Linked DNA regions of Mus musculus: regions 1, 2 and 3 are each reported to be linked to region 4. Evidence: microRNA targets listed by miRTarBase, many of them from high-throughput screens and not tested one by one. Region 4 holds a microRNA gene; each other region holds the end of a gene's coding sequence.

The links. Region 4 holds the annotated microRNA mmu-miR-3089-5p (UGAGUUCAGGGACAGCGUGUCU, at 2,076-2,097, opposite strand). A microRNA usually pairs through its seed, bases 2 to 8, with sites in the 3' UTR of a target mRNA and lowers its output. Matches are read on the target gene's strand: a 7mer-m8 pairs with bases 2 to 8, a 7mer-A1 pairs with bases 2 to 7 and ends in A, and an 8mer does both.
Region 1: miRTarBase lists H2az2 as a target of mmu-miR-3089-5p. Seed matches in the 3' UTR shown: 8mer at 1,573-1,580.
Region 2: miRTarBase lists Tigd3 as a target of mmu-miR-3089-5p. Seed matches in the 3' UTR shown: 7mer-A1 at 6,147-6,153 and 8mer at 6,118-6,125.
Region 3: miRTarBase lists Slc12a8 as a target of mmu-miR-3089-5p. Seed matches in the 3' UTR shown: 8mer at 6,004-6,011.

The regions. Positions count from the first base shown.
Region 1 is chr11:6,422,191-6,429,309 of GRCm38, reverse strand. It overlaps H2az2 (H2A.Z histone variant 2), which reads left to right. Exons shown (of 5, transcript NM_029938.1): 4 at 85-214; 5 at 878-2,084. The coding sequence ends at 939. Among named protein-coding and RNA genes, the nearest start is that of Ppia, 9.9 kb to the right of the region's middle.
Region 2 is chr19:5,885,177-5,892,295 of GRCm38, forward strand. It overlaps Tigd3 (tigger transposable element derived 3), which reads right to left. Exons shown (of 2, transcript NM_001362045.1): 2 at 5,962-7,119. The coding sequence ends at 6,512. It overlaps Slc25a45 (solute carrier family 25, member 45), which reads left to right. Exons shown (of 6, transcript NM_134154.4): 6 at 1-592. Among named protein-coding and RNA genes, the nearest start is that of Tigd3, 5.4 kb to the right of the region's middle.
Region 3 is chr16:33,662,443-33,669,561 of GRCm38, reverse strand. Slc12a8 (solute carrier family 12 (potassium/chloride transporters), member 8) reads right to left here. Exons shown (of 13, transcript NM_134251.3): 13 at 5,424-6,637. The coding sequence ends at 6,475. Among named protein-coding and RNA genes, the nearest start is that of Heg1, 18 kb to the left of the region's middle.
Region 4 is chr2:30,716,200-30,723,318 of GRCm38, reverse strand. Mir3089 (microRNA 3089) reads right to left here and starts at 2,109; the gene lies at 2,026-2,109. Gm14488 (a long non-coding RNA gene) reads left to right here and starts at 2,132. Exons shown (of 4, transcript XR_866106.3): 1 at 2,132-3,346; 2 at 3,449-3,613. Gm39782 (a long non-coding RNA gene) reads left to right here. Exons shown (of 3, transcript XR_866107.2): 2 at 213-264; 3 at 606-1,756.

The DNA of each region.
Region 1 (7,119 bases), not on the chromosome of region 4:
CAGGAAAAACCGGGTTCCATATAGATCCTAGAGAAGCCCTTCTGCATGTGGAGACCTGATTGTGTTACTCTGGATGCATTGTAGGTGTTGGAGTTAGCAGGTAATGCTTCCAAAGATCTCAAAGTGAAGCGCATCACCCCACGTCACTTACAGCTTGCAATCCGCGGTGATGAAGAGTTGGATTCTCTTATCAAGGCCACCATAGCCGGGGGCGGTACGTATTATTAAGCCTAGATTATTTCTAACTAATGGTCCTCTGTATTTGAATGGTTAACTAGAAGCCATATGGATTTTAACTCCATACGTGTTAAATGTGCTACAGTTCTGTTGGTGTTTGGGTGATCCTAGGTCCTCATAAATGCTACAGGTAAACACTCGAATTGAGTGCCACTCTGGGTTCCTCTCTGCTCCTTGTCATAGTGATCTGAGTAAATACTTGTTCTCCCACCTGTCCTGTGTAGTGCTATTTTTATTTTAGCTTGTTCTTTAAATGATGCGATACTTCAAACCTTAGGTTTAAAATATTTCCCCATCTGTTTTGAACTATGCTAGAGAACTGCCATGACCCTGAGCAGTTGTCTAATGTGGTAGACGTGGCAGGACTGAGCTAGTTGTGTGTTAGGAATCTGTCAAGGTGTGAGGTGAGTTGGCAGTTCTCAGCTGTTTTGAACATACCTTACAGATGTCATGGCTGTAGTTAGCCTTGTTTACTGTTCCTGTAGAAGGGTTCACAGGCTCCTGTAGGTTCAGTAGGATCCAAATGAGAAGGGTCTTAAATAAGTTCATCCTTGGTATAATCGTTTTTTACTTTAGCTTTAAAGCTTTAAGATTTAAAGGACATTATTAAAAATAACAACTCATACTCATTGTGTTGTAGGCGTGATCCCGCACATCCACAAGTCTCTGATTGGAAAGAAGGGGCAGCAGAAAACTGCTTAGGACGTGAGTCGCTGGCCTGCTCTCCTCGGTCTGTAACAGGGCAGAGGGGACTAGTGCGGTGTGCGGAAGAGCATAGACGGTTGCTGTAGACGAGACAAAGGCCACATCTGTATGTTTTTAGACTCGGAGTTTGATGAGTCCCTTTCCCTGTGGTCACAGTCATGTGTTGATTGGCCAGGTTTCTCCCTTGTGTTTTATACAAAAGTAGAATTGATAAAACATTTTTTACAAAAGTACTGTGTCTCAGTATTTCTTCATGATGTATTAGAAATACTTTTTTCAAACCTGGCCAGGGCCATGTTGCCTGCATCCCCAGCGTTTGGGAGGTGTGGGCAGGACCTTCAGAATACACGCTGATCTCTGCCTACATTCCAAGTTCTACCACAACCTGGACTACATATTCTCTTCAGACATTGACGTTTTAAGATATTCAGAATAATCTTAAAGCAAAAATTGGAATGTAGTATACCTTGATTGTTACAGTGTTAGTTTGAATCTCAGATATAATCAATTTTTAGAAATATATATTTATTAACGTATACAGTGTTCTGCCTGCCTATATGCCTGCAAGCCATAAGAAAGCACCAGATCCCATTACAGACCATTGGGAGCCACCATGTGGGTGCTGGGAACTGAACTCAGGACCTCTGCAAGAGCTGCCAGTGATCTTAACCTCTCCAGCCCTTATCAAGGAGTGTTATTAGCCTACTTTATGGGCATGCTGCCCATTGTCCACAGGAGGTAATGATCTGCTGAGAAGACAGTTGAGCTGGTAGATGGGTCAGTGCAGTTGGACACAAGCCTAGGTCTGTCTGGCTTCAGAGTGCACACAGGAGTGATGCTACTAAGTTAGACTTTTCTGATTGGGTCCTGGAATTCTAACTTTGTGTGGCCATTCATCGATCCCACTAACCTGCAGTGACTTACAGCCTTTATGATTGATGTCTAAGTGACTACAAGATGTAAACTAATTCACTAGTAAATGCGATAGCCAAAATTTTATTTTTCTTCAATATGTCTTTGTGAGAAATTAATGTTTTATAATATCACAGTATCAAAACAATTCATTTTTGAAGAAATATTTTATTATGGAAGTTCTGACAAATGCACAGAAATAAAGAAACTAGCACTAGTGTGACAAAGCCATGTGTCCTGGTCCTGAGAATTAGTTTTTATGGTCAATTTTAGCCGTGTCCCCACCTACCACCACCAGTGGATTACTCTGAGTACTGTGACAGTCTTCACGTTGGTGTGCTATACAGACTGATCACAGGGTTCAGTGAAGACAGCTGACGTGGTTTTGTTGTTTTGTTTTGTTTTGTTTTGTTTTGTTTTGTAATTAATTAACTTATTTTATGTATTAGTACACTGTCGCTATCAGACACACCAGAAGAGGGCATCCAATCCCATTATAGATGGTTGTGAACCACCATGTGGTTGCTGGGAATTGAACTCAGGACCTCTGGAAGAACAGTTGGTGCTCTTAGCCATTGAGCCATATCTGTAGCCCAAGTTGACAGTTTTATTACCAAGTACCAGTCAAGTTTTTTATAGTTTGTTGGAATTAAAATCTAGACAAGTTTGGGCTGGAGAGATGGCTCAGTGGTTAAGAGCACTGGCTGTTCTTTCAGAGATCCTGAGTTCAATTCCCAGCAACCACATGGTGGCTCACAACCATCTGTAGTGGGATCACATGCCCTCTTCTGGTGTGCAGCCATACATGTATGTGGATGGTTTTGTTGTTTTTTGGTTTGGTTTGGTTTGGTTTTTCGAGAAAGGGTTTCTCTGTATAGCCCTGGCTGTCTTGGAGCTCACTTTGTAGACCAAGCTGGAACTCAGAAATCTGCCTGCCTCTGCCTCCCGAGTGCTGGGATTAAAGGTGTGCACCACCATGCTTGGCATATGTGGGTGTTTTATCTGCATGTATATCTCTCTGTACGCCAGAAGAGACCATGTGATCCATGAGACTACAAGTTACAGGCAGTTGTAAGCCACTGTGTGGTACTGAGAATTGAACTCGGGACCTCTGGAAGAGCAGTCAGTGCTCTCAAACTCTGAGCCATCTCTGCAGCCCACATATTCTTAGTATTTAAGTTGATTTGTTAGGTAACCTATAGGTGACTATACACCTACAGGTTTATTTTTCTTGTAACCTAAATTTTTGAAGGAGCTGAATTCTGTAGATTTGTTACTGAATGCATTCCAGTGTGTGTGTAGAGGCCAGAGTCAGCATCGGGTGGTTTCCTGGAACTTGCCTATTCAGCTAGACTGGCTAGCCAAGGAACTCTGGAAATCTGCCTGGCTCCATCTTCATGTGCTGGGTTACTACAGATGTGTACTGCTGTGCATTGCTTTTTTATTTTTTTTTTTATTTTTTATTTATTTTTTTTTTTTTAAAGATTTATTTATTTATTATATGTAAGTACACTGTAGCTGTCTTCAGACACTCCAGAAGAGGGCATCAGATCTTGTTACAGATGGTTGTGAGCCACCATGTGGTTGCTGGGATTTGAACTCCGGACCTTCAGAAGAGCAGTCGGGTGCTCTTACCCACTGAGCCATCTCACCAGCCCCCATTGCTTTTTTAATACTTTAAAATTTAAGTATGTTTATGTGTGCCTGCCGCAGTGCATGTGTGTAGGTTACAGGGCAACCTTCAGAGTGAGTTCTCGCCACCTTTATGTAGGTTCTTGGAACAAACTAGGGTCATTAGACTTACAAGGCATGTGTTTCCCTTCTGAGCCATCTTACAGTCCCTGTACTATGCTTTCTGCATGAGTACTGGGTATCCAAACCCAAATCCTCATGCTAACACAGCAGGCACTTCCAATGGAACCATCTCTCTGGACCCATGCTCTTATTTTAACCTGTCAGATCTAGAAGGTTGTGTTTTGTTCTGTTAAGGTTGATGCTGTGGCTGGAGAGATGGCTCTGTAGTTCAGGGCACTGCCTGCCCAACCAGAGGACCTGGACTCCAGTGGACGCTCCATGTGGACTCTCATGGTCACTGTAACTCCAGCTCTTCAGCATCTTCAGATACCAGGCACACAAGTAGTGAACATACATACATGCAGGCAAAGCACCCATATACACAAAAATATGAGAGACAGACGGAGACAGAGAATGTGTCCAAGAGTGGTAGTGCACTCCTTTAGTACCGGCAGGCAGATCTCTAGTGAATTCAAGAGCTACCTGGTCTACATACCAAGTTTCAAGGAAGCCAGGGGCTATACAGAAGGACCTTGTCTCAAAATAACAACAAAAACCACTTGCTGCTGCTGAAGGACCCAAGTTCCGTACTCAGCTTTCACATTGTGCAGCCTGCAATGGCCTGTGATACTCCAGGAGATCCATCGCTATTTTCTGGCCTCCGTGGCTACCTACACACACGTGGCAGACAAATAGAGTTTAAACTTTGAAAGAAAAAGATTGGTGGCTGGGTATAGTAGCAGACATATTTAATTCCAGCACTCAGCAGGCAGATGTAGGCAGAACACTCTTGAGTTTGATGCCAGCCTGGTCTATAGAGTGAATTCCAGGCCAGACAAGGACATAGACCCTATTTCAAAAAACAAAAGATGAGCCGGGCGTGGTGGCTCATGCCTTTAATCCCAGCACTCGGGAGGCAGAGGCAGGTGGATCTCTGAGTTCGAGGCCAGCCTGGTCTACAGAGTGAGTTCCACGACAGCCAGGGCTATAGAGAGAAACCCTGTCTTGAAAAACCAAAAAAAAAAAAAAAAAAAAAAAAAAAGATGGGCTGGAGAGACCGCTCAGCAGTTAAGAGCACTGACTGCTTTTCTGAAGGTCCTAAGTTAAAATTCTAGCAACCACATGTTGTCTCACAACCATCTGTAGTGAGATCGAATGACTTCTTCTGGTGTGTCTGAAGAAGTTCTTACATATAGTAATAAATAAATCTTTTTTTTTAAAGATTTATTTATTTATTTTATGTAAGTACACTGTAGCTGTCCTCAGATACTCCAGAAGAGGGCATCAGATTTTGTTACAGATGGTTGGGAGCCACCATGTGGTTGCTGGGATTTGAACTCGGGACCTTCGGAAGAACAGTCTGCACTCTTAACCACTGAGCCATCTTGCCAGCCCAATAAATAAATCTTGTAAAAAAAAAAAAAAGACTGAGGACAGTGCTAGATGTGGTACAGGCACGGAAGTGATAGCTCCGTGTCACACACAGCAGAGCACAGCATGGCTGAGGTGAGAGGCACACGAGACTCCGTCTGTTAGCTCAGGCTTGGGATTGCTTTTTAGCTTTCTCAGGTTCTGGAGATTGAACTCAGGGCTTTTGCCATTGAGCTACAAGCCAAACCCTGGATTTTTCTTTTCAGATAGGGAAGGCTACTCAGCATTTTCTTTGAAAACCAACAGCAGCCAGGCATGGTGGTGCACGTGACTTTAATCCTAGCACTCAGGAGACAGAGGCTGGTGGATCTCTGTGAAATAGAGGCCAGCCCGGTCTACAGGGTGAGTTCTAGGACAACAGAGCTAGGTAGTGAGACCCCGTTGTCTCAAAAACAAAACAAAATAAGCCCAGCATGACTTGTATGGTTTGTGTGGGTTTATCTGTTTGATTCCATGGATAGCTGGGAAAGAAACTAGCCAGCCTCCTCAGTTTTCTTTTGTGTTTTATGTATGTGAGTGTTTTGCTCAAATGTGTGTCTATGCAGCATGTGCATCCCTACTGCCCATGGAGGTCAGAAGAGGTACTGAATCCCTCAGAACTGGAAATTCAAACCCCAGTCCTCTGAAAAACAAGTGCTCTTAACTACTGAACTGTCTCTCCAGCCCCAGGCACCCTCATCTTATAGACAAATTCAGAGTCAAAAATATCTGCTAAGCTCATATACATCCAGATCAGTGTGAGCTCAAATACAGGGTCTGTTGGTGCAAAGAGCTTGACTATACAACGGGTTTTCTGGTTTTCCTGAGGAGTCGGTAAAGCATCACAAGGCTCTTATTCTAGTCTTGTGGAGAGCCAAATGTTCTGAGCTTTAGTGTTGCAAACAGTTCACAGAAGAGGTGGGTGTGTCTGTTAGATACAGTTCCTAGAGGCAGAGAGACTGGGACTTTATTCTTGATATGGAGCTGAAAATGCATGGCTTTCATAAGTGTCCAGTTGACTGCGCTCTACAGAACTGAGCACACTGGGCTGCAATACCCCAGCATTTCTAAGAATGGTCAGTGGGAAAGCAGCACACTGCAAACTGCCCAGGAACCTAAAGACTGCCCACGTAAGTGTGGATGTGGATATGGTCCATGAACCGCCTCAGCCTCAGCCGTATCCATTGTATGGAATTAGCAACATCACCTCGGGATCTTGTTTTTAGTGAAGCCGCTTGCTCTTCCGCCACGACTCACAATGTGCCATTCTCTTGAGTGGCTGCTATCAGCTTCTCAATCACACGTTCTCTCTCCCTCTTTCTTCAGGCCATCTTGAGTTAGGAGCAGTTACCTAGTTTGGATATTTTCAGGGGAATCCAGAAGAGCATTGACAGCACGCTCTCAGTTCTGACCATTCTCAGGTTGCCTCAAGCCCTAGGCTCTTAGCCAGTGTCTCAGTTCCAACTTCTTTGATGTGAATTGTTGAGAACCTTCCTGAAATGTTTGTGAGACCCTGCACCGGTGCTTCCAACCCATGACAGTGGCCTCAGGATAGGGAGCCTGGTGTGTCTGTCGGTAGCTGATTATATATGAATTTTCTTCGTTTGGTGGATCCTCTGTGAACAAGTTGATTTCTTCCATTGGTGGGAATGGTTTCCTTCCTAAGTCTTTCTCTTAATTCCATGTATTGAGATTCTACCATATGCTGTACAGAAGGGTTTTTCTCTACAAAGACTGGTTCTCTGGCTGTCACCCTCAGAAAAAGTGTGGGGAGGAGAAAGGTGCATAGAAGCGTTCCAGGAGATAGGAACATGGCTCAGATAAAGAGTTCTCCCTGCTTTTACAGAGCCAAGTTAGGTTCATAGGCCTCACATGGCAGATATGCATATCTGAAAAGCATCAAGTAGCTGAATGATGGCCCTTCAAAGAAGCAGTGTGTATCATTCAGGTGTTAGAATGCTGGAGTTGGTAGGTGTGCCCAGGCTAGACACAGGTCTGTGGTCCAAAACAAATGCTGGTTTGATTTTTTTTTTTTTTTGTCTTTTTGTGTTTTGCTGCACA
Region 2 (7,119 bases), not on the chromosome of region 4:
CCCACCTCACCAGACACTTCTGTCCAGGCAGCAGGGGCACGAAGTCCATAAAAATCACCAAGGCCACCATGCCATAGCCACCCCTCTGAAGGAGCACTCAGAGACCAGCCACTGTGCTGGCATCACCCAGCTCTTGAGTTCAAACCACTCCCTGAACAGGAGGATGACTTCTGTCTTCTTCATGTCCAGAATCCTTCAGGGGTTTCCATTACCTTCAGGGAAACCCAGGTCCTAGGCTCCTGGCTGGCCTGCCCCACCAGGTGGCCTTCTCTTGGTTACTTCCTGGTGTAGGCCCTCAAGTCCCAGGAATGCCATGGGTGGTGTCATTGTCCTCCAGTGGCCCACTCTCCTCAAGATCCAGGCAGAGCTCTTCATTTAGGGGTCCTTCCAACCTCATCTGTGCTGATTATGGGGTACCCAAGCACCCCAGCCCTCCTGCCTACCTCAGTCATACCTCTGTGTGCAGTGCTTCATGGTTAGTTTTGTTTTGTTTTTCCTCCTTTGAGTAGTTAGTTTGTGCCAGTCTTGTGCTCAAGGCTGTACTTCTGTCCCTTGAACAGATACATGAAATAAAGTTTCATCTGATGCAGTACTGATGATCCCTTTCTGTCTCTGTTCCCATCCATCACACACAGCTGTGAGCCTTCCAACCCCCATGTCCATGCCCTGGCCCCTCTCCAAGTTGTCTCTTCCTCGATCACATCTTTCCTTACATTTGTCTGATTATCTATCTCAATTGCTAAATTAGATTTTAAAACTGCCTGAGGGGCTGGAGAGATAGCTCAGTGATTAAGATCACTGACTGCTCTTCCAGAGGAACCAGGTTCAAATCCCAACATCCACACGGCAGCCCACTCATCTGTAACTCTGAGGGATCTGATGCCATCTTCTGGCTTATATGGGAATTGCATGCACGTGGAGGCAAAAATACCCATACACACAAAATAATTTAAAAAAATATTTTGAGGGAGGGTTCAAGACAGGATTTCTCCATGAAATCCTGTAGCCATGGCTGTCCTGGAACTCACTCTGTAGTTCAGGCTGGCCTTGCGAGGGAGACCCACCAGACTATGCCTCTTGAGTACTGGAATTAAAGGCATTAACCCAGCATAAAAATATTAAAAACAAAAACCAACAACAATAGGGCTGGAGAGATGGCTCAGCAGGTAAGAGCACTGACTGCTCTTCCAAAGGTCCTGAATTCAAATCCCAGCAACCACATGGTGGCTCACAATCACCCGTAATGAGATCTGATGCCCTCTTCTGGAGTGTCTGAAGACAGCTACAGTGTACTTACATATAATAAATAAATATTTGCCAGCTTATGCCTCCTGAGTGCTGGATCAAATGTGTGTTCCTCCATTGCCTGGGTCTTAGCCAGTTTGGTGTGGTGGTGGTAGTTTGTTTGTTTTTTTTTTAATACTTTTTTTTTTCAAAGATTTATTTAAGTTCAAGGTCAGCCTGGTCTACAGAGTGAGTTCCAGGACAGGACAGTCAGGGCTACACAGAGAAACCCTGTCTCGAAAAACCATAAATAGCTAGCTAGCTAGACTGTATTCTTCCACAGCCTCTTGTTACTTTGAGCTCCTTCCCCACAGCAGAGGATGCCATAGACTTTTGCTCTTGATGATCGCCTTAGCCTACTTCTGCTGAACACATCCGGGTCTGCTGCAAGGATCTGCTCACGCTCTTCTCCCCGAGTTTGTAACTCCCCATCTTTCAGTTCTTGGCTCCTTCAAGACATCTGTTTCCCCCAGCTATGCCAACCAATGGTTCCAAAGCACCTGGAGGGTTTGTTCAAGTATTTTGCTGAGTCAAACCTTAGGGTTTGGGGAGGTTTGGGAGGGTAGGAGGATGTATATTTCCTTAAGGTTCCAGCTGCAGCTGTAGGCCACACACGGAGAACCACTAGACATGTTTTTCATGTCACCCCTCTTTCTTGGTCTGTAATTACACACTCCAAGTGTCTTTTCTGTATGATTCTGAGTATATCTGCCTCTCTAAACCAAGAACTCTGCCTTTAATCTTTAAAATGCCTATAAGCACTTAGGAGGCAGAGGAGGAGAATCTATGTGAGTTCCAGGCTAGCCTGGCCTACAAAAACCCTAAACCATGCATGGAGTAGACTTTACTCCTAGCTCCTTATCATCAAAGCTTAGTGGGCTGTCCAAGAAACAGTTCTGAGAGTCCAGGGACGCAGCTCAGGGGTAGAGTGCTTGTCACACAGAAAGCTCTGGATTGGTCCCCTTATCATGTACACGGGGCATGGTGACACACACCTATAATCCTAGCACTAGGTAGGTGGGGGCAAAAGGTCAGGTCAAGGTTTGTTAGATATCAAGTTCAAAGCCAGAATGGGTTACAAGAGACCATGACTCAGAAAAATAAAGTTTTACAAACATGCTTTAGGCTTGCTAACTGAGCAGGATGTGAGGTAACTTCCTAAAGTCTGAGAAATAGGGGACACGAGGCAAGGCTGTGGGGGTCAGGGCTGCCTCCTGGAGTTTAGCATACTAAACCTTGAATTCTTAGGCCTTGGGGAAACAACTTCTTCTTCTTCTTCTTCTTCTTCTTCTTCTTCTTCTTCTTCTTCTTCTTCTTCTTCTTCTTCTTCTTCTTCTTCTTCTTCTTCTTCTCCCTTTTTTGTTTTTTAAGATTTACTTATTTTATGAATGTGAGTACACTGTTGCTGTCTTCAGACACACCAGAAGAGGGCATCAGATCTCATTACAGATGGTTGTGACCCACCATGTGGTTGCTGGGATTTGAACTCAGGACCTCTGGAAGAAAAGTCAGTGCTCTTACCCACTGAGCCAACTCTCCAGCCTCCCAGCCTCCTCCTCCTTGTTTTTTTTTTGTTTTGTTTTGTTTTGTTTTGTTTTGTTTTTTTGAGACGTGGTTTCTCTGTGTAGCCCTGGCTGTCCAGAGACACTCTGTCACTCTGTCATTCTGTAGACCAGGCTGGCCTCGAACTCAGAAATCCGCCTGCCTCTGCCTCCCGAGTGCCTGGCATATTGCATCATCTTTATGTGCCCCCTTCTATTCAGAAGAAACAATTACACATTTTTCTAGAGATGAGCCACTGAGTGTTCCACAGGTTTAAGTTGGAAAGGTGAAGAATTCCCCAATACCCATGATGAAATGAGCAGAGTACCTAAACATATAGCCCCCTCTCTCCTTTCTTGCTGAGACAGAGTGTTACACCCAGCTCTGAGTAGACATCTTTCATGAAAAAGATACAGATAGCCAGCAAGAGCTGGACAAGGGGCTGGGCCAGGTGTTATGTGCCTTTAATCCCAGTTGGAGGCAAGGGCAGATCTGTGAGTCAAAGGCCAGCCTGGTTTACACAGTGAGTCCCAGGTCAGCAGCGGTACATGATGAGACTCTGCCTCAAAACAAGCACTAAAACCAACCAACCAACAAAAGAGCTGGGCAAGCCTGTACACATCTGTAATCCACCCTTCTGGATACACATCTGTAATCCACCCTTCTGGATACACATCTGTAATCCACCCTTCTGGATACACATCTGTAATCCACCCTTCTGGATACACATCTGTAATCCACCATTCTGGACACTGTCGGCAGACAAAAGTTGAAGGCTAAGGTGGGTTAAACACAAAGACGCAGGAATGTTAAATGACTTTGAGCATTATTAAGAGAAATGAGATGAAAAGTGCGATGGTACATTAATTATGTCACCTCTATTAGAACGGCTGTAATACAAAAGGCAAAAGATGAGCCGTGGAGAGGACCCAATGCTAAGAACACTGCTGCACACCCCTAACTCCATCCCTGGAAACCACAGAGAAATCCTGATGTGCTGGTGTGGATCTATGAACCAGCACTCCTACAGAGAGATGGGGAGCTGTGCTACAGAGACAGTTCATTGTTAGGAGCCTTTGTTGTGCCGGGCATGGTGGTGCATGCCATTAAGCCCAGCACTTGGGAGGGAGAGGCAGGCAGATTTCTAAAACCTTCCAAATCTTAAAAAAAAAAAAAATAAAAAATAAAAAAATAAAAAAAAGATAGAAGACAAAAGCAAAAGAATTTAGTGGTGTTGGTTTCATTGCCAACTGAATGAGTGACTAGCTGATCTGCACCTTATTCTCCTACACGGCACACTTGCATCTGTCCTCTGAGACTTCTCTCTCCACTCACCGGGAGAACACAGTTCAGCAGTTCAGCTCCGAGTGCCACCATAACACTGGCCATGAAACAGACAAGAGCTACAGGGTATCTGCCAATATAAACAAGTTTCCCGTGTAATGAATGACCTGGTCATAGGTCAAAATACTAGACCTCAAATGGCTCCCAGGTAAGTGTTCCATACAGTGTGTGTAATATACCCATACTGCAAACACCTACAGCTAACCACTGCTAACACAGGGTTACTATGTCCAATTTACTGGGGGGATCTCAGAACATCTCACCTCCACATATGCCACACCCAGGGGTGCTCCCTCACCCCCAGTTGGCCCATGCTTACTTCCTTTGGTTTGCTATCCTTTCCACTTTTCTCTCTATTCAGGGCTCCAATATCAAAACTCATCACAGGCTGGTGAGACAGCTCAGCAGGTAAAAGCGCTTCCCACAAAAACCTGGAGACCTGAGTTTGATTCCCAGAACCCACATAGAGGAGAAAGGAGAGAGCCAAGTCCACAAAGCTGTCTTCTGACCTACATTTGTGCATGGTAGCAAGTGTGCACGTGTGTGTGCTTCCCCCACCCCACATAAATAATAAATAAAAATTAAAAAGAAAACCAAGGTTGGGCATGGTGGCATACACAATTTTTTTTTTAAGGATTTATTTATTATATGTAAGTACACTGTAGCTGTCCTCAGACACACCAGAAGAGGGCATCAGATATTATTACGGATGGTTGTGAGCCACCATGTGGTTGCTAGGATTTGAACTGAGGACCTCTGGAAGAGCAGTCAGTGCTCTTAACCACTGAGCCATCTCTCCAGCCCCGATGGCACACACCTTTAATCCCAGCACTCAGAAGGTAGAAGCAGGTGGAACTCCAAGAATTTAAGGCCAGCCTGCTCTACATAGTGAGATCCTGTCTCAAAACCAGAACGCTATCACCATACAAACAACAGCAAAACCAGCTCACCTCTACTGGGTTTCACTGGGCTTTGTAGGGCCAAAGCATTCTGCACTTGCCTGTCATTGCTTTCTGGTCCTGCTTTGCAGGGATGTCACCTTTGCAATCTTGCCACATAGGATATCATGATAAAAGGAACTGTGGTAAAATGAATAAATGGATGAAAAGTGTAGTGAATGAATGATTATTCCAGAGCTCATTGCCCTGTCCTGTCCTGCCCTGCCCTGCTGCTGGCCACTACACCACACAGTCTGATGCTGAAGTGGTAAGAACTGCAAAGGTCTGAGTCGCCCTGAGACCTTTCTTCAAGTTTTCTTCTTGTAAGCACGGTCCGTGTATGAAGGGTTCTTCCTGATAGAAAGACTTCACCCTTCTCTCATGTAAGCCATGCTTTGAGGAGGCGGGGGGGGGGGGGGGAAACTCAGTAGGCATAGCACTAGCTCAGTATGCTCAAAGCCCTGGGTTAAGTTTAATACAGAGGGCTGGTGAGATGGCTCAGTGGGTAAGAGCACCCAGCTGCTCTTCCAAAGGTCCGGAGTTCAAATCCCAGCAACCACATGGTGGCTCACAACCATCTGTAACAAGATCTGACGCCCTCTTCTGGAGTGTCTGAAGACAGCTACAGTGTACTTACATATAATAAATAAATAAATCTTAAAAAAAAAAGTTTAATACAGAGTATCACATAAACCCCCATAATCCTGGCCCTAGAGGGGAAGGCAAGCAGACGTGCAAAATCATCTTCAGTCATAGGGCAAGTTCAAGGTCAACCCAGGCTATACAAGATTACATTCCAGAAAGAAAGAAAGGAAGGAAGGAAGGAAGGAAGGAAGAAAGGTCCTCCACATCCTGACTTTGTGGCTAAAAACTTTATTTCCTGAAGCAGAATTGGTTTTGACACAAAAATTCAAGGAATGGGGCCACTGTTAGGAAGTCTGTCCATGCTGTGCGATGGTGGTGCACACCTTTAATCCCAGCACTTGGGAGGCAGAGGCAGGCGGGTTTCTGAGTTCAAGGCCAGCCTGGTCTACAAAGTGAGTTCCAGGAAAGCCAGGGCTACACAGAGAAACCCTGTCTCAAAGAAAAAAAAAAAACAAAAAACAAAAAAAGGAAGTCGGTCCACCTTTCTAGGTTCTACCCTATTTAGACTAACTCTCCACAAAGCTCTAGAAGTTTCTCCAGGGCCTAGAAGCTACACAGCCCAGCTTTCCACTCTTGAGGCCCCATCCGTAGAAACTCTAGGCCTGAACAACTTTTACTCTGACCTTAGACTTTGTGTTCCAACTTCCTTCCCTTCTACACCCTCCACATACTATTTCCACAGGAAAGAGCCAGTCTGTCTCTGGAGAGGCGTTTCCATGGGAAACAGGAGAGGGAGACTAATAGGCAGCTATGCCTCCTCACAGACAGCAGAGCTGCTCCACCTCCACCTCACAGTCATAGAATTTCTCAAAGAGTTCTGGAGAGGCACTGTTGCATTCAAGCCACCTCCTCAGGGTGCACAGTGCCTGCAGGGCATCGGCTTTGGTGGGCAGGGGCTCAAAGCCATCTTCTTCCCTCCCACTGTCTTCAGTACCCGTCTCCTCTTTGCACACTCTAGGCCCTGGGTCCTCATCCTCCAGGTCCACAAAGTGAGAAAACTCCTCTTGGCTCAGCCCACTAGGGACTGGTGACATCTCAGTGTCTTTGTCCAGGGACAGTGGTGTTTTGCCCGGAGCGAGCCCTTCTTGAACAAAGCTGCTCAAAATGAGCTGGCGAGGTACCTTGGCCCAAGCTGCGGCCACCATGTGCAGAGCATCCAAAACTGTGATGCTAGCCCTGGCCTCCGCCAGGGAGGTGCCCTCTTTCCCACTCTGCATGGCAGCCAGTTTGCTCAGTAGACGGTGACGGTAATGGGCCTTAAAGGCCAAAATCACAGAGCCAGGCAGGGAAGGAGTGGTGCTGGAGGCAGAGAGAGGCAGGAGTCGAACGTGATGGAGTCCAGGAAGGCTGGCCCATTCCTCTACCA
Region 3 (7,119 bases), not on the chromosome of region 4:
TCCCTAAAAGCAGAAGAGGGAGGCAAGAAAGGCAGAAAAAGAGTGTAATGGAGAAGCAGAGGCTGGAGAGAGTGTGTTTGCTGATGGCTGGGGTAAAGGTGGAAGGCACAACATCATGGAATAAAGACAGCTCCTTGAGTCCAAAGGAATCAAACCAGTCAACTCTCCTAGTCTCTAGGGCAGTGGTTTTCAACTTTCCTAATGCTGGACCCTTTAATAGAGTTTAATACAGTTCCTCATGTTGTGGTGACTCCAACCACAAAATGATTTCACTGTTACTTCATAACTGTGATTTTGCTACTGCTATGAATCATAATTTAAATAATTTTGGTGATAGATGGTTGCCAAATGGGTTATGATCCACAGGTTGAGAACTACTGTTCTAGAGTGACCAGGGCTCTGCCTCCACCATCGTCTTATTTCATCAGAAGACCCATGTTGAGCTTCTGATGTCTACAACTGTAAGAGAACCTTGGCTGTTTCAAGCCACTGAATGTGTTGCAGCAGCAATAGAAAGCCGGGCTGGGAGTGTAGCTCAGTGGGAAGCATGCTTGCCTATCATACATGAAGCCAGGGGCTCAATCCCACCACCTAGACTAGGCATGGTAGAATATGTCACCTGGTACCTGGGGGATGGAGGTAGGAGGTTTGGAAGTTCAAGGTCATCTTCAGCTACATAATGAGATAATGAGTGTGAGGCCAGTCTGGGCTACATGAGATCCTGTCTCAAAAATGAATGAATGAATGAATGAATGAATGAACAAATAATCTTCCCAACTCACTTGTACAAGCTATTGCTTCAGTTGATACACAGCAGACAATAGGACCCTGAGGACCTCAAATAACTGGCCCTTGCCTCTTTAGAGGTCTAGGCTAGCTTTTTGGCTTCCTCTTAGATATCTTGTCTTAGCAATAGATAACTCGCCACCAGGCCACCCTCTACTTCCTGCACTGTGACATGGCAAGAGGAAAGAGCTATACCCTCATCTAAAGCTAGGTTTCCCCTGAACCTGGATCATTCATGGGTTTAATGTTTTAAGACAGGAGCCTATCTGATTAGTCAGAAGTTGGGCCGTGTTCATGAGTGGGCAGAACCCCCATTTGAAAGGTAAGAAATGTGAAGTTGCCGCCTCTCTTTTTCATATGATACTGCTGACAAGGCAGGCTGGGCCTTGGTTCTAGTTCCTTATTGAAGGAACTTTGGGGTTATAGCTTCTTAGACTAGAGAGGGAAAAAAATGTTAGACACTGGAGCCTTGACTCAAACTGCTGATACCAGTGGCATTTATCCACCACTGTTGTTGACAGAAGTTTTGTGCCCTTTCAGAGAACTAATATATAAACTGAGGCTGGAGAGATGGCTCAGCGGATACGAGAGCCATACCACTCTTGTAAGGACCTGAGTTCAAGTCCCAGCACCTATATCATGCAGCTCATGGTTGATACTTTGATATCTCTGTCCTCCTTGAATACATGCAGACACTTATATGCAAATAAATAATAATATTGAATATGTAAACTGGCACCCTTTATCCTATCTTTATTTGGTGGGGGGTTGTGAGTTCCTCTGGATAGCCCTGGCTGACCCAGGACTATCTGTGTAGACCAGGCTTCCCTTGAACTCAAGAATACTTCTGCCTCTGACTCTGAGCGCTTCAATTAAAGGTGTGCACTACCACTGCCTGGTTGTGCCCCATCTTTAAACACTGAGTCAGAAATCTGAAGAGACTCCTTGAATCCTGAACCTTAGACTCAATACCAACTTAAATTATTTATGTATGATGCATCTGGCTATGTAAATTAGAGGGCAGATGAGCACGATTTTCAGAGATACCTGAGAAAATGACCTCTGTTCAGTGAGGCCTGCTTGCCCTCACTTTCATCTATCTTGCTGTTCATCCATCCTGTTGCTGAGGCATTCCTTCACTGGTATTAGAACCTATTTCTTTGAGACTCCAATGAAGACAAAAAAGCAGCTTAGATGTCCAGGCTCGTGGATGAAACAACTATGTGATTCTTGGCCCTTTTATCAGGAGATAGTTAATGCTGGACTAGCCGGACCACAGCCTGTAAGGTACTAATGAAATATCATTTCTATACTTCTGTTCTCCAGAACCAAGAAAAAAAATATATTTCTGTTGTTTTAAAGGCATCTAGTCTGTGGTTAAGACTTATGTATTTCATCAGTACTGTTCCTCCAGGGAATCCTGACTAATACATGCCTAACCCTTGTCTGAATGAGCCAAGCATGCTTACTCATCGTAGTGACCTGCAGTATGCGGGTTTTATATAACACTGGCTAATGTGCCACCTCAGGTTCCATGTGTACCACCTGTGCATAGTCAGGCTACTCGTTGCATCTCAGCTGTGATGACCCCTTCCAGGTGGACTCCAGTTAGGCTGACTCCATGCAGAACTACTAGGCACTCCCATGCATGCACATTACAAGTGAGGTGGAGGTGGCTAATGTCCTCCTAGGCTCCCCCTTTAGTTTGGGGAACCAGGAACCAGGAGATAACTCTTGACTCCTCCCCCCTCTGGAAGAGGGTCTTGAGAGAGGTGTTCTGCAGTCTCTTCACGAGGAGGCACGTGCTCCTGTGTAGCTTCAAATCCTTCCTCCTTGCCTTGGTCCTCTTGCTCGCTCTCTTTCCTGCCTCCCCTTACTGAAGTGGTAGCTTGTGAACATCAACCTGTTTAGCATCTGCCCCCCCCCCCCCAACACTGAGCTGCTCATTTTGTTTGGAATCCCTGACACTGAGTACAGTTTCTGATTTTTGTCATGAGCCAGTCCTCTCTTATTCTTCTCTGTAAGATGAATCATACTGGACAATGCTCTTCTTGAATCTTCTGTGCATTATTTTTGGCCTTGGTATCATCCTACTTAAGCTCTGTGGCTAGCCCGGCTCACTACCTCCTTCAAAGAGGTTGCTCTTTTAGCCTGGTGTGCAGCATTCAAAACAGCAAAAGCAGATGCAGTCAAAGTCTTCTCTGCGTTGTGCAAAAAGGCGAGAACCACTGCTCTGGATTATCTTGGGCTTCTGTATTATCGCATGCCTCAGAAAACAGAGTAGAAGATGGACTTCACATGTTCCCAGAAGGCAGCTGTAGCCTGCAGTGTTGGCTTTGAACTGCAGAGATGTGGTCACAAATCCAGGTGGCTGGCAGCAACCAAAGCTAGAGGAGGCACAAAACAAACTCCCCCAAAGATTGTGGATTCTTGGATTCAGCTTTGATGCTTGACCTTCGTTTTTGACTCAGTAAGACGGATTCGAGACTTCTGTACTCCAGAGCTATGAAAAAAATATATTTCTGCTGTTTTAAAGACATCTGATCTGTGTGATTAATTACAGAAGCCATAGGAAAATTTTTGAATGCAGGTTCCTCTTTAAAAGGGGCTTCTGATCTGGAGGTTGAGGACAGAGGGCTAGTTTAAGGCTAGCTTGGTCTATATAGTGAGTTCCAGGCTAGCCTGAACCACACTGAAACCCTGCCAACAGGGCTGGAGAGATGGCTCAGCAGTTAAGAGCACTGACTGCTCTTCCGAAGGTCCTGAGTTCAAATCCCAGCAACCACATGGTGGCTCACAACTATCCATAATGAGATCTGATGCCCTCTTCTGGTGTGTCTGAAGGCAGCTACAGTGTACTTACATATAATAATAAATAAATCTCTGGCTGGAGTGAGCAGGGCTGGAGTGAGCAGGGCTGGAGTGAGAAGAGGTCCTGAATCAAAATTCCCAGCAACCACATGATGGCTCACAACCATCAGTATAGCTACAGTGTACTCATATACATTACATAAATAAATAAATAAATAAATCCTTAAGGAAAGAAAAGAAAAGAAACTCTGTCAACAAAAGCAAACCAAAAGAGGTCCTCAGGGATCGTCACCCTGAGCCCTTCATGAATAGTTGGCTTTATTTCACCATCTTCCTACTTCAACCTGTTAGTAAGCCATGACCAGCTCAGTCTGTCTTCTTCTGCTTTATTTTATTTTATTTTATTTTATTTTATTTTATTTTATTTTATGTGTGTTGATGTTTTGCCTATATGTATGGCTATATATTACATTCTCTGGTGCCTATAGAGGCCAGTAGAGAATCTCTGATCCTGTAGAAATGGAGTTACAGTCAGTTGTAGGATACCACATAGGTACTGAGAATTGAACCTGGGTATTCTGGAAGAGAAAGAAGTGTTCCTGACCACTGAGCTATCTCTCCAAACTGTGTCCTTTAAAAAATATTTACAAAATTTTATGTGCGTGTGTGTGTGTGTGTGTGTGTGTGTGTGTGTATACGTGTGCGCGCCTGAATGAGGCTATGTGCACTATATGCATGCAAATGTCCATGGAGGATAAAGGGTATTGGATCCTCTGGAACTAGAGTTCCAGGGGGTTGTGAACCGTCTGATGTGAGCGTTGGAAACTGAACCTGGGTCCTCCGCAAGAGTAGTGAGTGTTCTTAACCACTAAGCTACTTCTCCAGCCCCTCAGACTGTGTTTTTATGATATTTTCTTCTAAAAGGTTTGTGTGTGTGTGTGTGTGTGTGTGTGTGTGTGTGTGTGTGTGTGTTTATGTGTTGAAAAGTCACAGCACAACTGTGGAGGTCAGAGGACAACTTGTAGGAGTTGATTCTCTCCTTCTACCATGTGGCTTCTGGGGCTAGAACTCAAGTGGTCAGAAATGGTGACTCCTTTTGTGGTGTTGCTTTAGACCCAAAGTCTGCATCCTTTAAAGGTATGTATCTAAAAGTGCTCAGACGCTTATTCCTTAAGCAGAGCTAGGTTGTTTCCTGCCATCACGAGTGAGAGCTTGTTTTCCAGAAGAGAAGGTTACAAGACCTAGCTGACCCCTTATGCCCTTCCCAGCCCTCCCCTCCTCTAAACTGTCTATCCAACACATGGATGTTTTATAAAATGTGTCCACAGCATACCCAGCACTGACTTGTGTATGGCATTGTTAAAGATGTAGATCCCATGACTCTTCTAAAACTTGGATGGGTCACTTTGAACATGTGCGGCAGGAGAGAGCACAGCATCTCAGGAGAACGTATGGAAGAGTCTAAGGTGAGCCAGCAGTCCATCCCTCCACGCTCAGCAGTGGAACTGGAGCCTGGGTTAGGGGCTGAGCTTATTAGGAGGCCTGGCCCCCACTGCTGGATGCTTGCAATAAGTGCCAAGTCTAGATCACAGAAGAACCAACAGTCCTGTCGTCTCGGGCAATCCATGGTGCAAAACAGCTGCAAAGGTGTCAGGGAGTCAGACTGCGCATATTTTTGAAACACTGTTAGGCAATTCATAGCAATTTCTCCCCCTTCCCCATGATACAGGTGGAGTCTTACTGTGTAGCCCAGACTGGCTTCAAACTTTTGGTCCTCCTGTCTCCATCTCTCAAGTCCTGGGATTTCAGGTGACTATCAAGCCTGGTCATGGTATTTGATTGACTTTTTAATTAAAAAGCATTTCTCCAAACAGTAACAGCTTACAAATGTACATCCCCAGTCACCCTGTAATTCTCCTTCTGAGAATTTATCTTCAGGTATCCTTCACGACTGTGCACACAAACACAGTGACTCTTTGCAGAAGCGGCTGTAATAGCAAAATATCAGAATGAAGCTAAATGCCGTCCTCGTGAGGCTGAGTATATAAATTAAGGCACATTCAGACATAGAGACATAAGGAGGAAACTGTGTAAGCATCTTCATGGAAATGCTTCTATGGCAGATTAAGGGAGAAGAGCGGGATGTAGTGCATTGTAAACAGAGCTGCATTTGCAGATGGGAGGGGTCTGTAAAGAGGTGGCTGATGTTTGCATGAGAAGTGGTTGCCCCTGTGATGGGGGACGGACACCAAACAGATGAGAAACAGGGAGAAGGGGGTTTCTATACTCTGTGGCTTGGGAACCATGTGAGTGTAGTTAGTATACATTACAAAATAAATAAAACAGGGGAGGGTGCTGGAGAGATGGCTCAGCAGTTAGGAGCACTGACTGTTCTTCCAGAGATCCTGAGTTCAATTCCCAGCAACCACATGGTGGCTCACAACCATCTGTAATGGGATCCGATGCCCTCTTCTGGTGATGCTATTTTCTGTCTGAAAATAGCTACAGTATATGTATATATATATAATTCTTTAAAAATAATAAAAAATAAAACAATAAAATTAAAAAGAAGTGTTTATTTTGGCCCCTTAGAATAAGAAATCTCGTTTTGATTCTCCACATTTGGTTGTCTTGGTGTCACCTGATCATCCTGGTGCCTGTGGACTCTTCAGGTTGGGCACACGTGGAAGCCATAGTCATACCTAGTATCTGGCTAGACATGCCATTTCAGACCGGAATGTGATTTCCAGCGTCCAAGGCTGTGGTGGGAAGACCAGTCTTGGGTTTTCTTATTGGTAGAAGCAACTTCCAAAGGTTCTGAGGCTTGGGTCCCCCATCTCCACAGCGGCTTCTAGAAAGGTGGGGTCCAGCGAGGTCCTAGTAGGGAGGCATCAACTGCTCCCGGCTCAGGAAGGAGGAGTGGTGGTAACGATCTCGGGTGGCGAAGTCTGCATTGTCCTGGGTAAGCTGAGTCATTGCCATGTCAACCTTGGCTGGTGATGGCGCCAAGATGATTTGCTCCTGGGCGGACCTCAGGCTCCTTTGGGGGAGACATAGGATGGGGAGAGGGGAAGAACAGGTGGAGATGAATTATGGGAGCCAGTCCACCCCATGGAGATACTGTCCACCCCATGGAGATACTGTCCACCCCATGGAGATACTGTCCACCCCATGGAGATACTGTCCACCCCATGGAGATACTGTCCACCCCATGGAGATACTGTCCACCCCATGGAGATACTGTGCAAACACCAGCTGCACTAACATTTATGTCTTTAAATACTTAAAAGATAATTGTTGGGAACTACAACAGCCTATGAACTCAAAGTAGGAGATACAGTATCAAGTGAAGACGGTAATATTGACCATTGTTAAGTGAAACACTGTAAAACTATACCTTCTAATAAGGGATGCCCACCCTAAAGACAGTTTTGTGAGAGTTCTGTAACTTTTCTTTGTTCTTATCAAATGAGACAATGGCAGGACTAAACTACAGACTGGAGAGGAATGGAAAGAGAAACT
Region 4 (7,119 bases):
AAGATCTGAGTTTGATTCCCAACACCCACTTAAAAGCCAGCTGCAGTGGTATCTATTACCCCTGGGGCTGGGGAGGCAGACAAGCAGATCCCGGGAGCTTGCTGGCCAGCCTAGCTGAATTAGTGAGCTCTGGGTTGAATGAGAGGCCCTTTCTCAAACACACGCTGAGCGTGATAGAGGAAGACTCTGACCTCTGTCTCTGGCTTCCACAGGCTTGCATCTGTGCACACGGACCCTCCTACATGCAAACCCCCACACGAACAGGTACGTACCACCCCCTCACTCACAAAAGACAAAATAAAAATAAAAACAAAAAAAGGTCTTAATCAGAGGCTCGTTTGGATTTTTCCAGCTCCCCTTGTCTCCCAGGGCCCTCTCCTAGAGGGGGTTAAGCACATTAAGATGCAAGCAGAGTCGGCTCTGCTCTGCGCTCAGAGCGGGCCAGGGCTGAGCAGATTCTGGTTGTTATTGTTGCTGTCTGTGGCACCCTGAGTGCCTGCCCCAACACCCTCTAGGAGACTCTGGGGAATTTTCCAGAGCTTCAGGGCTGAGTTGAGCACAGATCTCAGAACTCCTAATGTTTGTTTCTTGTTCTCCTTCCCCAGCCTCCTGAAAACACGGATCCCCATCAGCCTAAAGTGGTCTGGGAAATGCTTGGTCTTCCTTACACTGATTCCTGTGTCTTTTTGTTGGGCTTTGGGTTGGAAAACTCTAGAAGAACCTAGATCAAATTTTAGAATTGAACCCTGAGGGTCCAGGCTTAGCTCACCCAGCAAGGCAGCTTCCCTGGCCTATGCAGCACAGCCACCTGCCTTACGCTGAGCTCTGGCTCCTTCAGAGGCCTCTGGCATTACCAGTGCTTCTTGGACAGTGTCTTGTTTCTGAACTTTAGGCCACAAAATAGAACAGACTGGGGTGCCTTTGGACCCAAGGGTAGGAGGACAGAGCTGTACTCCCAACTGAATTAGGAGGCAGAAAGACTGGGGGGTGGGGGGTGGGCATGGCATCCACAGAGAGGCAGGGGTGTGGGAACCCTCTGAGGGTGCCGGGCAGGGGCTGTGGGCCAGGCCTGGGAGCCTCGGGGAGGCCGGCAGGCACAGAGAAGGAGGCCTCCTACCAGACACTGTCTAGACGCAGCAATTATTGTCAGCTCGGAACACCCAGGCTCTGCCTGTGCAGCTGAAAAGGAGCTTAACAAAGAGAGAGGGAGGAAGAAGAAAGCGGAGCAGAGCCGCTCTGAGCCTGCCTGCCCGCCTGCAGCCCGCGGCTCTTTCTCTGCTTGGGCTCCCCCCCTCTTTGTGTTCCACAGGCACTGTTGAGGGGACAGCTCCTCACAGCTCAGAGATGCCTGATGGGGACAGAGCAGGAGGTGCAGCTCTGGGGCCCTGGCCAACTCTTCTGAGCTAGGCTTCTCAGAGTGGATGCTGGGAAGTCTGGGTCTTGTCCACTTTAGAGGGCTCTAGCCTACACCCTTGTCATACTGATGGGGAGCCTTGGGTCACGGAATGACAGCCTGACACCTACCCTCCTCTGCTTCCAAGGAGCCAGGCACTTTGTAGATAGGGTTAGGGGTGGGGGCTCAGAGAACACAGTCAGCCGTGGGGTGGCTTCAGGTCTGTCCTTTAGATCTGGGCCTTATTCTTCTCACCCTTGGGAGGAGGTGAGAGGGCAGGGCCAGCATAGCTTTGATGGGAAGCCCACCCTCCCCCGCCAGGACAGGGTTTCTCTGTGCAGCCCTGGCTGTCTTGGAACTAACTCTGTAAACCAGGCTGACCTTGAACTCATAGAGACCCTCCTGCCTCTGCCTCTTGAGTGCTGGGATTAAAGGTGTGTGCCATCACTGCCTGGCTGGAAGACTGTTATTAGCCGTGGCAGGCCCTTCAGAGCTGGAAGATGAGCACTTTGGATTCCATATGTGTCCTAGAACCTTCCCCCTCCTCTCAGTTGCCATTCCCGAGACCCCCTTGGCGTTGGCAGCAGTGGTGCTCAGAGTGTAGGGGTGGAGCCTCAAGGCCCTGGGTTTCTGCAGCTAAAAACACAGCTCAGGATCAGCAGATGCTCAGACAGAGAAACTGAGACACGCTGTCCCTGAACTCAGTTGCAAGCCACCAGCTGTTCCCCTTATCTCCCTGTTCCAGGGCATCTGGGCAGGGGCTCTGCTCTCAGCCCAGTCTGTAGCTCTAACTCTACCCACTAGCTTAGGCTCATGGAAAGGACCTACTGTGTGCTCAACTCTGCTCTCCTCTTGCCAGCAGTTGGGGTTGGGGGCCGGGTGGGGAGTGACTTGGTGGGTGGGCACCTTCTACATCCTGTGGAGGTAATGAGCAGTCCCAACCTACTGCTGGGGAAAGGCCTGAAGCTGGTCAGGGCTCCAGAGTGACTGGGTAGGGGTAGCTGGGTCCCTCTCAATCCTTCTCAATTAGAGACAAGGCCCTCAGAGCAAGAAACATGCATACCTGCCCTTACATCACACCCGAGGCCTCTTGATCTGTCCCCAGGACCTTCCCAGGCTCCAGGCATCGGCCTGGCCTGCCCGAGGCTCAGCCCTGCTGGCCACACACTGTCTTGTCTGCTGTGTCTCCCAGTACTCAATTATAGGAACAGAACCCTCCTCTCTCCCTCTGCACCATTACCATAACAAACCTGATTCCCCTGCCTATACTGCAGACCCACCGGGATCAGCCGGTCCACCAGGATTCTAGCATATTCTGCAATGCCACTGCAGCTCCCTCAGCCCTCCCCACTGGGTCTTCCTTTCACCTGGCGCTCTGAGCCATCTCTACCAGACCCTCAAATATGCGAAGCTGCCAGCCTGCTCCTGTGAGTTGTCCCCTGCCTCCTGAACAGCACCAGCCCTCCCTGTCACATAGCCAGCCCAGACAGCTTTCTGATTCCTCCCGCATCTGCACTAGGCTGGTCTTCCACCATGGCACAAACCAAGCTTGAGTTCAGCCCCCAGTTCCTAGCCTCTGGGAGCTTTGGAGACCTGTTCTCTCTGCTCCATAAAAGCCTGCCAAACCTTCCAGAGGCAGGAATTGATAGACCACTTGGATCTGAGGCCTGAAGACTGCCAGTCCTGTCTTCCCTGGCTTCGCATTAGTTGAGTTAGTCATCCCAGTAGATCCTCATGCACCCTTCTCTAGGACACTTCTGACCCCTGCTGAGATCACACACACAGCCAGTCTGCCTAAGTCCCTGATATTTCAGCCTTCTTGGGGGCACCCAATGCATTTTTTATGGCTCGCCACGCCTGCGAGCCCTGTGGGCCAGCTGTCTCTGGCTTGTCTCACTCTGTGAACCCAGCTCCTGCTTCTGAGGTGCCTTCCCAGCCTGACACCACCTAGAGGTAGGAGAAGTGACTTGGGCCCACACCCCCCCCCCCCCCCCCCCCGTAAGTGAATCCCTCTCGGCCCAAGCACCAAGGCAACCTCTTTGTCCTCTTTCCCAGGGCCTCCATGCAGACTCCCAGGAGTCACCGTGAAGGCCAGAACAAGGCTGTGCCATTGTGCTGCCCACTGACCTGAGAGCACTCCCAGGAGCTGGAACTGCCTTGTGCCCAGTTCCTCCCTCAAGCCCCCATGCAACTAGGCCAGTCCACAAGGACAGGAGGATGGTAGGTCCAGCAGGGGTGGGTACCCCACATCTATTCCTCCTCCAGAATTGGCCCAGAGCGTTCCCCAACCCTTGCTGTGGGATATCTAAGCCTCATCTTCCTTCCTCCCTGCCCTGCCTGTCCTTTCCCTCCAAATATCTATCCCTCTCCTCTCCTCTCCTCTCCTCTCCTCTCCTCTCCTCTCCTCTCCTCTCCTCTCCTCTCCTCTCCTCTCCTCTCCTCTCCTCTCCTCTCTCTCCTCTCCTCTCCTTGTTCTCGCCTCTCCTCTCCTCTTTTTCTCTCCTCTCCTCTCTTTTCCTCGTCTTCTCTGAGTCCTCCCTGGGCCTCCTTCCTTTCTTCTTCCTGGGTTAAAAATAATCAACTTTCTGGGAAGCGGCAGTTCCCGCTGAGCCGCCCTCCCCACACACGGGAGCCCCTGAGAATAGCTTTCTGCGGCTCTCCACTGAACCCCTCCCTCCCTCCTCCCTCCTTCCCTCCGCCCCCTCCCCGCCGGCTGACTAATAAGCCGGGCAGCCGGCTCTGCCAGCTCGCTGCAAGGGCGTTAACTGCTTCGTGCCCGGGTGGCGTTCAGCATATAGCGACAACAGGAGGGTTGTAGGGCACCAGGCCACACGGAGCCGGAGCTCTGGGCCCGTAGTAGACGTTTAACTAACCCAGCTCTGCTAGGCCGAGTGGTTTGGTGAACTTTGTCATCTAACTACCGCTGCGAGCCTGCTGCTGCTGCGGCTGTTGTGTGGCTAGCTAGTTCCTAGCTTAGGAGGAAGGGGTCAGTGGGATCAGTCAGGAGAGGCACCCAAGGGTCGGGACCACGTGAAGGGTGTGACTGGCCTAGTGACTCCTTGGCCCCGGATTCTGGGAACCATTGCGACGGGGCAGAGGTCAAAGGCAAGGCAAGGCTGCCTGCTGCTCTGGGGATCCATGCAGGTACCCCACTGGGAGGGACTTTGACAATTAAGAAATTACATCTAGGGAAACTGAGGTCCAGGGGGTGTTATTCAGGCTAGGATGCATCTGAACATCTGCAGCAGTGCGTGAGGCTCAGTGCTGCAGGGGGCTGATGATCCCAGTCCCTCAAGGTTGGAAGAAGAGCCGGGATATCAAGGTCAAAGGTGAGGGGTTGCTAAGGAGAGCAGAAAGTCAGAAGGAGCAGAGGGGTCCACTCAAGCCCCACCCACTCTGCGCGTCCTGGCATTACCTCATCACCAAGCATGCCCATTGGCTGGCTCTCCTGGAGGCCGGCCCAATGCGGCGGAGCGCATTAACCCGTTCCTCCCAGCAAGCTGCGCTCTGCCCACACCACCCACCTCTGTGTCCCCCACGTAGCCTGCAGAGCCTGAGAGTTGAGAGGACCGGGGAATAGGTGAAGGAGGTGCAGTCCTACGGCCGCATAGTCCCATGGGTGCTGTGTAACTGGGACATCCCTGTCCTGTTCTGGGCTGTGTGACCTTGGACAGACTGCTGCACCTCGCTGAGCCTCGGTTTGTTTTTCTCAGCTGTAAAAAGAAGTGAATGATGTAACTCACGCCCTTCCTAATCCCTGCCATGTGCTTGACAAATGCGGGGCACACGTGGGCTCTGCGTCCCACGGTGCGCCTGAGTGAGCACAAGTGGTACCATTGGGAAGATGGGGTTTCGGGAGAGCAAACGGCTCAAGGTTACCCCGCCATCTCAGGGCTGCCTTTCTTACAGGCTTCTTCTGCTCTTCAGGGAAGTGTTGCTTCCCGCAGTAGAGGTGGAATTGTGCCCAGCTGCTCAGACCCCAGCAAACCCCCTGTAGTTGACCAGTGACAGAGGAGAGCCTTGTGGTCTCCAGGAATATAAGCTGGGACTGAACCCCCAATGGCAGAGGACCCCTGGGGCAAGCACAAAGAAAGGACTACTGGGAAGGACTGAAGCATAGCAAAGGGTTAGTCAGCTACTGGTCCAGAAGGCTGCTTCTCTGGACTTTGGAAATATGCAGAGACCCACAGGCCTGCCTGAGTGTTTACAAATTATAAATCAGGCTAGCAAGCAGCTAAATCAAATCCCTTCCCTCCACCCTGACAAATCCACCTTCCTTAGGAAAGATACAGGCCTCCAAGGCTGGGTTTGTATTTCTAGCTCCCGGGTTTTTCTGGTGCCCAGAAGGGAGCACACGGTGGCTAGCTTCCTCCCAGGATCCTCAGCTCTATCTACCACCTCTGCTTGTCCTCCGCGGGCTGTGCACACTCAGGACCGAGTGGGCACTGCAGGCTGAGAGTCAGCTGGGGCCACGCCCCTACAGACAGCCATCTGCTGGTCACCTGAGTGCTGAGAGTGCCCACGAGGCAGTTTAGACAACCCTCGGGGCCTCTGAGACCCGAGCTCCGGGGCTCCGACCACGCTGGTCTCTGAACCACCAGTCTTAAGTGGAGAGGTCCTGCCAAGCGCCCTGGGCTGCAAGTGCAGCTGGGGTGGTCTTCGCTGGAGCCAGGGGCTGCTCTCTTGGAATTTCCTTCTGCCCTTTGCTTCTGGCCACACCCACTCTAGCTAGATCGCCACCCCTAAGCCATTGCGGACTCTTCCCAAAGTTCCCGTTCCCACTGCTTCGGCCTGTGCTGTGCGCACCTACCCCTCTCTGCCCCCTCCCAGAGCTCCTCTCCCACATTCCCTGCCCACCTGGTATCCCTCCCTAAAGCCAGCCATGCAAATCTTCCTGGAACTCAGACCAGGCTGCTGCTTCCTTCAGCAACAGAACTGGCTTCCATGTTGAGTTCCCTGCCACAACGTGCCCCACTGATGGCCAGCTTCCCCTGGATGCCACCTTTTTGTCTCATCCCCCTGTGGCTCTGGGCTCCAGCCATTGGCCCCAGCTCTGATTAGGTAGGGCACATTCTGTTCCTTTCTGCGCTGGGTCTTTGCACTCTCCACTTGCTTGGCTTGGAGTCCTGTTTTCTGCCCCTCACCTCCTGGGGGTGGGGCGTCCCTGATCCCCACCCCCACTCCCAGCCCAGCAGAAATCACACAGCAGGAGCTGGTTATCTGCGGAGTATCCGGTGGCCAGCTAGCTTCCCCCCGTGGCCAGTGTGCAGCAGGAAAGCTGCCCGGCAGCCAAGCTTGCAGCTGCTCCTCTGGGTCTCAGCAGAATGCCCAGCATCATGGAGGACCACTGGGTGCTGGAGGGGATCTCTGGATCTCAGCAGGCCCCTGGGCTCTCTAGTCTTCATCAGCACTGCCTCCCGCACAGCCCCCTTTATAAAGGGACCTCATGTTTCCATTCTCCAGGACAAGGACACTACGCACAAAGGTTCTTTGACACAAAAGGCGAGTCACAGACCCAGATCAGAACCCAGGTGGTCCACCTCCCTCCTTCTAGCTACAGACCGAGGGGGCAATATCTTGCTGTGGGTCTTTGGGCAAATGTCTCAACCTCTCTAGTGGAAGCTTTGCTTTGTATAGGACTGGCCAGAAGGGTGGGTGATCATTTGAGATTCTTCCCAGTTAACATGGGGCTGGGGGTGCTGTGATTTGTGACCTTCAGACAGTTC